3 linked regions of the Drosophila melanogaster genome follow. The gene in region 1 interacts genetically with each later gene. Each region holds a gene or a part of one and is shown on either strand. Other genes may lie near its edges. The genes, in order: pll, wek and mad2.

Region 1 (4,245 bases):
CCTGCAGCTTGGCTTCCTCAGCAGGCATTGGGCTGTTTTCACCAGAAGATGGTCCGTAATATGGGGAGTTATCATCCACTTGCTTGTCGGCGGCTGTCCTCCTCTTGAGGCACCGGGTCTTCTTCATCCGGCGGCGTGGGGACATGGGCTGCAGTGGCGGTGATTGCTCCGGACTGAACCATTCCCGGTCCAAGCACGGCTGCTCATTAAGAGCCATGTCCAGGGCGCGAACAACGTGGGTCCTCTTTTCGCGATCCTTCCGTATTTTCTCCTTGGAGAAGTGGCGCAGCTCCTGAATCCTCTTGAAAAACTTGGAATTTTTTAAATTCATTGTCTCGTCCGCTGGTCGTCCTTGATTAAAAATTGAAAATTTTTCACGTGCTAAAAGCTATATCTATAAAATTGATTCGTGTCAATGGTTAGAGCCGGAATTCTGCGTCACGAATAAAAACAATATTATTTTGCGATGATTGTGTTGTGAAAATGAAAATAATTATAACCGAAATGACGCTAAAATCAAAACGTAGCTCCACTGGCCACGTCGCTTGAGTCGTTTGAGTTTTAAATCATCGATTTGGGGCATATCATAAATTTAGTTTCTCCGAACATCAAACATACCACTAACAACTAAGTGTACAAAAATATTTAATAAACAATAGGGTAAGCATTTACAATTTAAGCATAACAATAAGTCTTTAGGGAAATTTTCGTTGGAATGTTAAAGTTAAAAATATATATTGCGATTGATCACAAAATGTGGAAATGGTTTACAAATGGTCCTTCGAGCTTTTCAAGTTCGTCAATAAAATGGTAACATAATAAGGCCCATCTAGTCGGTAACAAACGGTTCGAAACGCTTGAGCACCGCGTTCATGGATGGGCGATCCTGCGGATCCAGGGCAGTACAGTGCAAGCCCGCCTCGATGGCGCACATGCACATGTCCAGCTCCTTGCCCATCGGTGCTGCTAAGTGCTTCTCTAGCAGCTCCATCCGGTTTTGCCGCCACTGCTGCTTAACGTAGTCCAGCAAATTCTTCTTCGTCTCGTTTTCCGGCACGCGATCCGTCACCTGACGACCCGTGAACACCTCCAACAGCACAATGCCGAAGCTGTAGACGTCCACGCCCGTGCTGAGTTGTCTGAAGTTGCGGAACTCCGGTGGCAGGTAGATCTTAGTGCCGAAAACTTTATTCACTTCCACCACAGCGTCCAAGGACTTGGGACCCTCGCGCACCAGACCGAAGTCTCCGATTTTTGGCTGCAGACATTGGTCCAGCAGGATGTTGGCCGGCTTAATATCTCCATGAATCAGCGGTGTGCCTCGCGCCGTGTGCAGAAAGTAGATGCCTCTTTTGGAAACGAAATGAAAAGTTAAAGAAGATTGATAGCACTAAAGAAACGATAAATCCCACCTAGCCGTGCCGAGGCTGATGCTAAACCGCTGCTGCCAGGTGAGTGCTGGTAGTGGGTTTTGTGCCTTATGCGCTCGTAAACGAGCCTCCAGGGAGCCGCCCTTCATCAGCTGGTAGACGAGGCACGGCTTACCACCTTTGATGCTGTATCCGTAGAGGGCCAGGATATTGTCGTGCCGGATGCTGTTTAAATACTTGAGTTCGTTGTAGCTCTGCTGCAGCTCCACCATTTTCTGGTCGATGTTGGGACTGCGGTAGTTCATCACCTTGATGGCCACGTCCAGTTGCTTCCATTTGCCGCGGTACACGTCTCCGAATCCGCCCTGTCCCAGTCGATTATCCGGACTCCAGCCGTCCGTGGCGTTTTCTAGCTCCGCATAATCGATCTCCAGCAAGGATTCGGCTGCCCGCTGTACGGTGCTAATGTGTATATTGCCCAGGGACTCCAGGCTGGGTATCTCCTCCGTTGCCGTTGTGCTGGTGCGATTGTTGTTTGAGTTGCTGACGCCCGAGGAGGAGGGAAACGGCGGGCCGTTGTTTACTTTGGCACTGGAATCGGGAGCAGCGCGCAGCTCGCTGATGGTGGGCACGCTCCTCGGTATGTACTTGTGCAGATCCTCGCTAACGTAATCTTTGATCAGACGCATGGCGTTATGAAGCTTCAATCTAAAGTAAGAGGAGTCATTTCTGGGATCTCGGCGGTTATTATCTCAAACTGACTCACTTTTTGAACAAAGCAAACAATGTTTGCACCGTGTGATTGTACTGACCGCCCCAAATGTTGAGGAACTCATTGGAGGCTGAGCGGCCACGCTGCTTCTGGCTGCTTATCTGCTCCACCTGGTCGGGATAGAGTTTTACGGCCGTGGCCAGCTGTTGCCATACGTCTAGGGCATCCAAGTGGGCACATAGCTGGGCTCGCACGGGCAACGGCAGCAGTCGGATGGCCATTGTGTTGTCCAAGTGGGAACGCGACCTGGTCCTGTTGCCATTCGCTTGGTTTTGGGCCTGCGCCTCGGCTTCGGCGGTCTGGACGCCACTCATCTTTCACTTATGGGCGGGCGGTTCAACCGGTTGCGACTGATTCATGCGGCTCCGGATGCAAGAGTGCCCGTTGGATGAGGGGTTGGCGGCGCTGGTAACCTGTTGCAGCGAAACGAAAATCGCTTTTGGGTAAATTCCCAACGCGATTCGATGAAAACCTGTGGATGACTTGTTAACAGCGGCGCAACAAGTGATAAAGCAGCTTAACAGAGCGAAGCAGTCTGGCAACGCTGCCAATGTCTAGCAAATAATACACTCGAAAAAGTGGTAGATGCTTAGGAGCCACTGTTTAAAATTCAGAAGTAAAAAGAAAGCAGAGTAATTATTAAAAAGGTATTTGCTGTATGAAAATATTAAATAGATTTTAAATAACCTCCACATATTTTATGTAATTTGCACAGTATTTTGTATACTAAAATATCTTAAAAAATACCAAAGGCAATTAGTGTATGACCAAATGAGCCTTGCAGTTTGGCGGACATGCGTCGTTTTCAAGTGCCCCGCAGGTGGCCACACTGCTGACACCGTCACGAACGCATCGCTATCGCTAATTCTTCGCTTCGCCCATTTATAATTCAGCAAATACGTCAATTAGCCCCACCAGCGAACGGAAAAGCCTCAAGCTGGCGGAGAAAAAGGTCCAAATGGCGCTATGCCAGACATCGGTGGTGAGTGTGCGGCTGGATCCCCGAGATCCGGTAATTGTGTCAGCGGCGGTGGCTCCATTGCATTCGACATATGGAAGGCATCCTACCAAGGAGTTTCTCCATTTCCTCCAGCTTCACCTCCTTCCGCCGCCCACGCGGGAAAGTGAAAGCTTTCCCAGTGGTCATGGTAGTTACTACAAAACGATAGTTACAACTGCTGAAATCCGAGATACCAAAACTGCAAACCTCTCGGGTGTGGATGTGTGTGCATGCGAGTGCGTGTCTGTCTGGATGTCGCTGTGTTAGTGCGTTCGTTGCCTTGCAGTTTTGTATGTTTCTTGCCCTCTGGATTTTCCGATTTTCGGCTTTTCCGCGTAGTACTTCAAACTCCCATGGGGGGTTATATTTAGCAGTAATACACGCTGCGTAGCTTGTGCTATTATCTACAAGTCGGGGCCTCCTTCCTTATCGTCCGCTGATAACGCAAAACAAACTATTAATAAAACAAGCAACTGGCATACCGGTGTATATATATGTACAATGTACATATATATATATACCAGCATATGCATGGTATCTATGTACATATGTGCACTGCGACATTCTTCGCAAACAAATAATTTACATACTTTATTTGCGTTTTGCATATTCACATTACAGCTGCGTCTGAATTTTAATGGGAGCTCAAAAAGGCTCACCACATACTGTGCGCCACATTTTCAACTTCTATAGCGTCTTGCCCTTTACTTGCTTCGTGGATTTTTTGCGCAATCCCTATTGTTTTACCCCCAACTGTTTAGGCCCTAATAGCGTGAAGTTGAGCCGCGATAATATAATGAGTGTTTAAGTCAACACAAGCCCAGATTTGTCGTGCATTTCAAATTTAATTATACACAATTAACCGCATCCCCTCTCGCCCGCAGCTGAAGGTGTACCATGCCGTGATCGAGGACGTCATCACAAATGTGCGGGACGCGTTCCTGGACGAGGGCGTCGACGAACAGGTGCTGCAGGAGATGAAGCAGGTCTGGCGCAACAAGTTGCTTGCTAGCAAGGCCGTCGAGCTGAGCCCGGACTCCGGCGATGGCTCCCATCCGCCACCCATCGTGGCCAACAATCCAAAGGTAAGCGAAACGGAGCCC
Region 2 (4,704 bases), on another chromosome or scaffold:
GTTTAATCAACATGATTTTTTCTTTCCTCTATTTCCATGCAGCGTCGAAGAGTTAATGTCCTCGCTGAACATTGACTAGGAGTGAGTGAAGGTGGAAGGGATAGAGAGCCAACCTACTTGGATGCACTATTTATTGACTCTGCTCGGTTTGGAGGAAGGCCATGCCAAAATATTTTGCTTCTCAACGTGTTAACCTAAACAGCAAGTAATTAAAGAGAAACCATCGAAATCAAAACATGTTTAGATATTTATCCTACACAGAGACCCACTCACAAATGATCTAATTTGTATTAATTTAGTTGTTCCTTATATTTTTTTCTCTTGTTACATTTTTATTATTTAATCGCTTAATATTTACTATTTTATCACCGAGTTGTGGCACAAAATATTGATAGGTGATCAATATGCCATTCATTCATTCCCCAATTTAAGTGTGCGTTTAAATTGTAAATGTATTTTGAAATTATTAAAAAAAAAACCAACTTAAATGCAAAAAGGGCCGTTGTGTGTTTAATTAGGTGTCAATGTATCTGGTGTTAGCACGAAGCATTTACATTTGCTGAGTTATAATTTCAAACTGATTTTATTGTGAATAAGCCCTTGGAATTATCTACAGACCAACTTGTCGCAATCTAGTGAACCATGCGTGGGAGTTCTATGAATAGCGCTCATCTTTAAAATATGCTGCAACCGCTCACAGGAGTTTCAATTGAGTGTTTCAAAGTGTACGCATAATTTGGTGTCACAAATTACAATTGTTATTTTTAAATCTACATTGTGAGTCAAACAATTATTATCTTTTATACAATGTCATTTTCATGTGTGAACACATTTCCCAATTTAAGTGTGCGTTTAAAAAGTGAATTTATTTTGAAACTTATTAAAAACCAATTTAAATGCAAAAAGGGCAGTTGTGTGTTTAATTAAGTGTAAATGTAAATGTCTCTGGGATAAAATTTTACTGCGCACTGCTATTTATACATTTTTGTCAACCAACATGGTCTAATCCTGTTTGGCCTTGGCCATCTCGCGAGTTCTGCAAACCAAAAATTTAGTACAATAGTAAGCTAATAATAATAATATGCATGACTATAGCTTACATCGCTCTCAGTTCTTCCAATGTTGGCACTGGAACACGTGAAGATTCGGTTTCATCCTCCTTGGACGCCAGTTCCGGATGTTTTTTCCATTTGTGGGAGCGACAGTTGGTGTTGCTGGCGAACGCCTTTCCGCAGTACTTGCATACGTAGGGTCTGAGGCCGGTGTGTCCAAGGAGATGGATCTTCAAGGCCGTGGAGTTCTTACAGCCGCTGCCACAAACCTCGCACTTGAAGCGCCGCTCATCCGTGTGCACATACTTGTGCTTGTTAAGAATCGCCCGTGTCTGCAGCTTTTTGCCGCAGACATTGCACTCAAACTTGGGCTCACCATGTGTCTGACTGTGCACCTGGAAATTGTATACAAATTTCAAGATTTAGTTGGTCCACAAGATTATTCGATGACTTACTCTCAGCCTAGCTTTGTTCTTAAAACCAGCATTGCAGACGGGGCATATACAGGGCTTCTCTTCCGTGTGAACCAGCTGGTGCTCCACCAGCGATGTGAAGGTCTTCAAACCCTTTCCGCAGTGATCGCAAACGTATTTCTTCGGACCGCCGTGCATGTCGTGCTTGTGCCTGCGCAGAGCCATGAAGGACATAAAGGTTTCGTTGCAGATTTTGCAGGGATAATCGACGAAATTCGAACTCTGGGAGCCATGGGGTGACATGCTCAATTCGGATGTCTTGTCATCTTGTTTGGATTTAGCATTGTCGTCTGGTTCGCGGGAAGTTACGTTATCGCTGTCGTCCACGTTTTTCTGTTTGCCTGAGCCCTTGGGTCTGCCTCTTTTTCGCTTCAAAGGCGGCGGGGATACGGCCTCGTCTTCGTCTAGAATGGCCTCCTCATCATCCGACTCGGTTGCAGTGTACACTTTGGAATTTCGCTTAGCCGCAAACTGCTGTCGGCGACTTCGTTTTGTTTCAACTTCAGGAATTGATGCAGTAGGTGAGGCTAGCACTTTGGGATCGGAATTACACTGTTTGAGATTAGCTCGTGTTCGCACGGTCTGTGCTTCAAAATCGGGTGACGGAGATGTGGAATGGTCTGATATCGTTAGCTCCTCTACCAAGGAACACCTATCCTCCGTATCGTCTATGTCCAGGAACTCGAGGTCCTGCTTGCAGGCCGGCGGAAGGCCGTATTCCAGACGCAGGGCGTCCAAGTCCTGGCTATCCTGCGGCTCCGAGTGTCGCAGAAGCTCAAAAATGGCTTGTACTTTGGAAACGCTATCCGAGAAGGTGATCAGCTGGCCAATCACCGAGTAGCACTCCTCGCACAACATGCTGCCCAGTTCCGGTTCCTCGAGGGTCATCTGCGTGTGTGGAAAACTAATGTATAAGCTATCTGTAGGCTGGGAAAACGAATAACATACCTCCACATCAAAGCATTTGCTGATAATCCTAACCAGATCGTCGTCCCGCTCGCGCACTTTGTATACAACGTCGTCGCGGGCGCACAGGCGACACCAGTATATCCAATCGCTTGTGGGAACTCCCATGGCTAATCCTCAACAGAAGCCCCACAGTTTGGTACAGTATGCCCTCGGGTTTTGACTAAATTCTATTGCCAAAGCGCTGATTAAAATCAGCTGTATGGAGCGGAATTCCGAATCGATTAATTGGTATGCGCACTCCGATGATTTTTGGAAATATCGATAAGTGCAAAACAACAAGTTGTTGCCGCCATTTTCAAAAAGTATTCAGTTTAAATTTGGAATTGAAAATTGTATTTATTTTACTTTTTTTTCTCAATCATAAGAAGTATTACTAACGTTTTCCTTCCTGCGTGTCGATGTTTATTAACATAGAGATGTATTATCATCATCATTTGGATGTGGTTTCCCAGGGATATAATGTTGTTTTTAAAACATGCGACCGAGTTTTTACTCTGGTATATATATATAAACAATATAATAATTTATTTTCGACTTACATATAAGAAAAACTGTGTATAACAAAAACTAATTTTAGCACATTTGCTTAATATAACAAAATGGAATGATAAACTACATCTCAACGTCTTCCATATCGTTCGCCCCACTCTCCACCCAATTCTCGATGGTGTAATAGGCTTTTAGAGCCAATTCGTCGTCCAGCGTCGGCTCGCCAAGCACCAAAGGGCCCAATTGCTTGTCGACCATAACGTCTTGCCAGAATTCGCTGCGATTCTTGGCCAGCGCGATCTTCTTCAGCTCCTCAGCGAACTTGTCGTATTCCAAAAAGGTGTTGAAGTCTATACAGCTCTGTCGGTACAGGGTGATGAGCTCGCCCAGTTGCCCGATGTTCTGTTTCCTGCGCTGCAGCAGTGTGATGATCACCACGCGGGTATCGGCAGCCAGCGCCTGAAAGCGGGCATCTCGCTCAGTGGCATTACTGATTGTGTGAACGCTAGCCAGGACTCGCCTGAAATCAGAGATTGGATCAATTAAGCCCACACCGTCTGATGGCAACGGGATTTCCTTCTCCGCTGGTTCCGACTTGACTGCCACACCATTCTCTGCCTGCTCCTTGGCCAACAGCTTTTCCTGCCAGGCGCGACTATAGCGCAATGGAAATAGCTTCTTTACGATGGCTGCCGCTCTCTTTGACTTCTCCTCCAAGGGATCTGGCACTCGCCAGAATACATCTGCGAAGTTTTTGTCCTTAAGCATTTTGTCTTCCTTGTCGTTATCATAGATAACTTTTCGCTCTAGGATGTCCATGACATTCTGCTCAAAGATGCTGGGAAGTGCGTCGAACGGCAGCAGATCATTCTGCGCCCACGGACGTGGCTGCTGCGTGTCCCGCAGTGTGCACTCCAGATCGGTGCTATCGATTAACTGATCAATGGCATTCAGCTGTTCCTCGCTGCACTCCGTCTTGGTGGTTCGCAGTGCCGGAAAGTCCCAGAAGTGGTGCTGAGACGTATAGGAAACTTCCAGCATATACAAAGTAGCCGGATGGGTATCGTCTGCTAAGCGGGGCAGTAGCACAACCATTTGCGGTCTATTAAACTTGGTGCTATATATTTTCCAGCACAGTATGGCCCGATCCGAAGAAACGAGAGCACGCACCAGAGCGTCCAGCTTCACGGCGGCAGATTGATTGTGCTTCTGATGCACCAGGAGGTACAAGGACTCGCCACAAAAGTACTCATCCGGCACGGCATTTCTTTTGATAAAGCCAAAGAAGTGGAGACCAGGTGGGTGTGGTTCCTTTGGCTCTAGCACGGCCTCGTCGTATGGCACCGGAGTGCCGCCCAGCATGTAACCGGTTATCAGATTCTCCGGCAGCGGGGTGATCTCAGTGCCTTTGATATAATGACGAGTCTCCCGTATCACTATCTCATCCTTTTCCGCCCAGACCTTTACCAGCTTTACGGGCGTCTGGTTCTTCATGGCGATTATGCCCTGCAGGCTAATGGAGATCTTGCTGCCGATGTTCAGCTTTGCGTTCCACACCCAGGGTCGCCGGTTGGTCACCTTGAAGACGGTATGCAGTGCCTCCTTGAAGCTGCACAACGTCGCATTGCAGCGAGGAACGAGACTGAGGGCGTACTTCTGGTTATTCAGCTCATCGGGGCCGCATTTGCGCGAAAAGTTGAAAATAGCCTGAGGCTGAGAAG
Region 3 (3,459 bases), on another chromosome or scaffold:
TCCGATCGGGAGAGGCCATGGAGCAGGGACTGCGTGACTGCTGTCGCTCCATTCGCATTGGAAAGATCCTGGTCGAGTCCGATGCCAATACGCATGAGGCCCGCGTGGTTTATGCCCGCTTTCCCGATGACATCGGCAGCAGGCAGGTGCTACTCATGTACCCCATCATGTCCACGGGCAACACTGTGCTGCAGGCGGTGAATGTGCTGCGGGAACACGGCGTACCCGAGAGCTGCATCATCCTGTCCAATCTCTTCTGCACACCCATTGCCGCTCGGACCGTAGTGAATGCCTTCCCCAAGCTGAAGATCCTCACCTCCGAGCTGCATCCCGTGGCACCTAATCACTTTGGCCAGAAATACTTCGGTACAGACTAGATACTTGGGTCTATCTCGCAGACTTGACGACTAAGCGCTGCTTAGGATAGGTAGCTGTCGCCCAGACAAACGCCCTTTCCTGCGTTGCGCTCCACTAACAAATGCTACCCTCTCTCACTCTGTTTCGTCCTCCAGATTGCATTTGAGACACACAGACAAATAGACGACCCCTGCGGCCAACCAAACTACTACTTAGCAACTGTTAGCTTTTCACAACTGGCTTTTAATGCAACTCTCAAATACGTTACGTTCGTTACGCACTATTGTAAATATAGAAACGAAATAAATATTTAAACATTAGGATGAGGCGGTACTGCCTTTTAAGTGCTCATCTTGTAGTTGACCACGGTGTCCACCTTGTGCAGTCCTGTAGAAAAGGAGCGCAGCTGGACGGCCTGCGGATTCTGTATGACAATGGCACCCGTTTCGTCCCATTTGGCCGGTAATTCGGTGTTCTGCAGCGTGTGAATCATTATGTCGAAGGTGCAGATGCAATCGAGCAGTGGCAAATAGCTCACGGTGGCCGAGATCTGCCGCATAACGTCGCGAATCTCGTTCTGTATGCGACTCAGCTCCTTGGTGGTTGTTGCCTTGGTGGGATCACTGATATCGCCATCGCCCAACTCGGCCTGCATATTAAAGTCCCAGCACTCGAGCACCTCCTTGGTGTGGGCGTTCGTAATGACCATCGAGATCTTGTTGATCATGTTCTTCGAGAGCCATTCTATAGGTGAATACAAATAATGGTCACCATAAACTTGAATTTTTTCCAAAAGACCACTAACCTTCAGTTTGGCTGAGCACGTTCTGCAGAAAGGTCTTGATCTTGGGATCCTTGGACATTAGAATGGTTAGCCCATACTGCTGCGTGTTGTTAAAGTCTTCGGCTGGGTAAATTCCGCGTTGGAAGAGGATCGAATTGATGCCGTACTCTATTTAGGAAAAAAAAAGAACCAGAGACGCCATTGCAGGCGAACTTACAGACGCTTTCGTGACGTAGCTTGCTACTCACTCAGGTATTCCACAATAATCTGAGCGGAGCCCTTGAGTGTGATGCAGTTTTTGGTCGCCTGGGCAGTTGACATGTTGATTTAAGTCGATTTAAGTGGGAGAGAAATTAACAATTTGCTAAATTGCCGCTATTTTTGAAAGGTGTTGACTAGCAGAGATGACAGAAGCTCGATATACATTCGATACGTTTGTCTGCAATATATCGATAAATATCGGTGAATGTACTCGCTAAATTCAGTATATTTCTATATTTGGTGTGTGTATTGGCTATGCGACCAGGGATGGTGGAACCAGGGATGGCTAACTCCGACCAGTGCTGCCAAGCAATTCCCAAAGGGCGGCATATTTAAATTCATCAATTTATTTGCGCAATAAAATCAAAACACAATTATTGATTGCAACAAATTCAGAATTTTATTGGCCATCCTTGTGTAAACTAAATCTAAGCATGAGATCCATTTCTGAGCGCAAAAGTAATTCCGCGTGGTTCGGCCTAATGGGTTCCATCCGGTTCATCGTATTCCTGCCAAGAGACTAAAATAAGACAAGACTTTGATATAGCCAGAACAATAGAGGACCCAGTTAATCTATGCTATCCAAAACCTAGCTCGGTTCGTCAGAGCCTTGATTACTCTGCCCTCTGATTTGACAGAAAAGATCAGCAAAAGCAGAGCAGCAAATCATAAACGAAGTACAAGAAGCCACAGTGAACAAGAACAGAATATCAGACCAAATCAAAAAGCAATCGATGTTTGTAAAATGTGAATTATTTGCAAATTTTTAATTAAGTTTTTTCTTACGCATCGTTTTGTTTGTTTTTGTTGTTTTTTTTTCGTTTTTGTTTGTTTAATGTTTTGTTTTAAATTAAAATTAAACTTTACATGGTATTTTTGGTATAAATCTTTCAATAATTAAATATATAAAAAATTTGCCACTTAAAATAACTAAAAATAATCTCTACGCACTTTCTTGCTTTACGCCTAGCCATACAAACTGATGTCAACATACACATTGTGAAGAAATAAAAACTAATTTGCCATTTTACATATTTTGGTGTTGAAATTGCGCAAATCCAAAAAAAACGAGGACAAATAAAATAGTATTTCGAAATTAAGTAGCTCCATGGTGTCTGTGTGGGGTGTTCGTGTGTGTGTGTGTGTGTGTGTGTGAGCTTATAGCTATAATTACGTTTAATTTAGGTGTAATTAAATACAATAAATTACGGTTAAAGAAGGGCTTGCATTACCTTAGTTGAAATGTACACAAAACTTATCGTTAGTTAAAACGAGAGCTATTTACAGGATTTATTACAAAGTTCTCGGCTACGTCAACCTTTGTTATCATTTTAAAATTATTGTCTATGATACAACAACAAAAGCGCAACAATGTCAAAGTCAGGGTCGAATCGGTAATGCTTTGCTCTCGAACTTTGAACCGCAAACTTCGATCTTAGATGTTATATGTATGTGATATATTTCGTAAAATAAATAATTTAAAATTCTGCTCAGCTTTCATACATCCGATTTATACATTTAAGATATTCTGTCACCGTGCACAAGAACAAACGTAGCTAAAGTCAGTCTGGATCTGGAACTTTTCGCTCGGGAAGAAGGAACTCTAGGCGAGGGGAATTGTACGAATTTTGAAATGTTTTCTGTTTTCTGTTTTCGGATATGTATTCTTTGTAGTTGCAAACTTTGAGAACGGTGATGGGTTTTTGGGCATGGTCAGCTGGTGCAACAAATTCTCTAATTTTTTAATAAACGTAAAAAATTACAATTGTCCACGTTTTTGGAGTGCAGGGAGTTCGATTTTTTTTTTGTTTTTCGTTTTGTTTATAAAATCATAAAAATAATGAAACAAAATTCTATGCATTAATAGTCGTTATTTAAGGTATGTATTTGGCCGTAGATTGCAACAAAATATCTGTGAAGAGATTAAATTATAAATAAAATTAAAAATTAATCTTTCAGTTCTTCATTTACTGCTAACTAAAAGCTGGCTAACACCATTTCCACAATTAGGGGCAACTACAAGCATAAAATTGCGCTCTCAAATGAAAAAATCCATG

Evidence for each region.
Region 2: of pll (region 1) and wek, changing one enhances a phenotype caused by changing the other (phenotypic enhancement), as found in Drosophila melanogaster (one study listed by BioGRID).
Region 3: of pll (region 1) and mad2, changing one suppresses a phenotype caused by changing the other (phenotypic suppression), as found in Drosophila melanogaster (one study listed by BioGRID).

The regions. Positions count from the first base shown.
Region 1 is NT_033777.3:27,250,502-27,254,746, forward strand, and holds pll (pelle), read right to left. Parts: upstream 2,682-4,245; 5' UTR 2,457-2,681; coding exon 2,137-2,456; intron 2,079-2,136; coding exon 1,413-2,078; intron 1,350-1,412; coding exon 830-1,349; 3' UTR 630-829; downstream 1-629. Other genes in the region: TTLL6B (tubulin tyrosine ligase-like 6B), read right to left, coding at 1-331; TfIIA-L (transcription factor IIA L), read left to right, coding at 3,101-3,124, 4,027-4,227. UniProt on the Drosophila melanogaster protein: Plays an essential role in the Tl receptor signaling pathway that establishes embryonic dorsoventral polarity; the signal directs import of dl into ventral and ventrolateral nuclei, thereby establishing dorsoventral polarity.
Region 2 is NT_033779.5:15,765,633-15,770,336, forward strand, and holds wek (weckle), read right to left. Parts: upstream 2,718-4,704; 5' UTR 2,600-2,717; coding exon 2,474-2,599; intron 2,414-2,473; coding exon 1,508-2,413; intron 1,448-1,507; coding exon 1,101-1,447; intron 1,037-1,100; coding exon 1,003-1,036; 3' UTR 501-1,002; downstream 1-500. Other genes in the region: CG3793 (uncharacterized protein), read left to right, coding at 43-79; Ku80, read right to left, coding at 3,107-4,704. UniProt on the Drosophila melanogaster protein: Acts as an adapter to assemble/stabilize a Toll/wek/Myd88/tube complex; required for efficient recruitment of Myd88 to Toll. Dispensable for innate immune response; plays a minimal role, if any, in the immune defense against Gram-positive bacteria and fungi.
Region 3 is NT_037436.4:5,811,553-5,815,011, forward strand, and holds mad2 (mad2), read right to left. Parts: upstream 1,542-3,459; 5' UTR 1,463-1,541; coding exon 1,390-1,462; intron 1,310-1,389; coding exon 1,163-1,309; intron 1,102-1,162; coding exon 698-1,101; 3' UTR 583-697; downstream 1-582. Other genes in the region: kri (krishah), read left to right, coding at 1-366, 513-523; vn (vein), read right to left, coding at 3,263-3,314.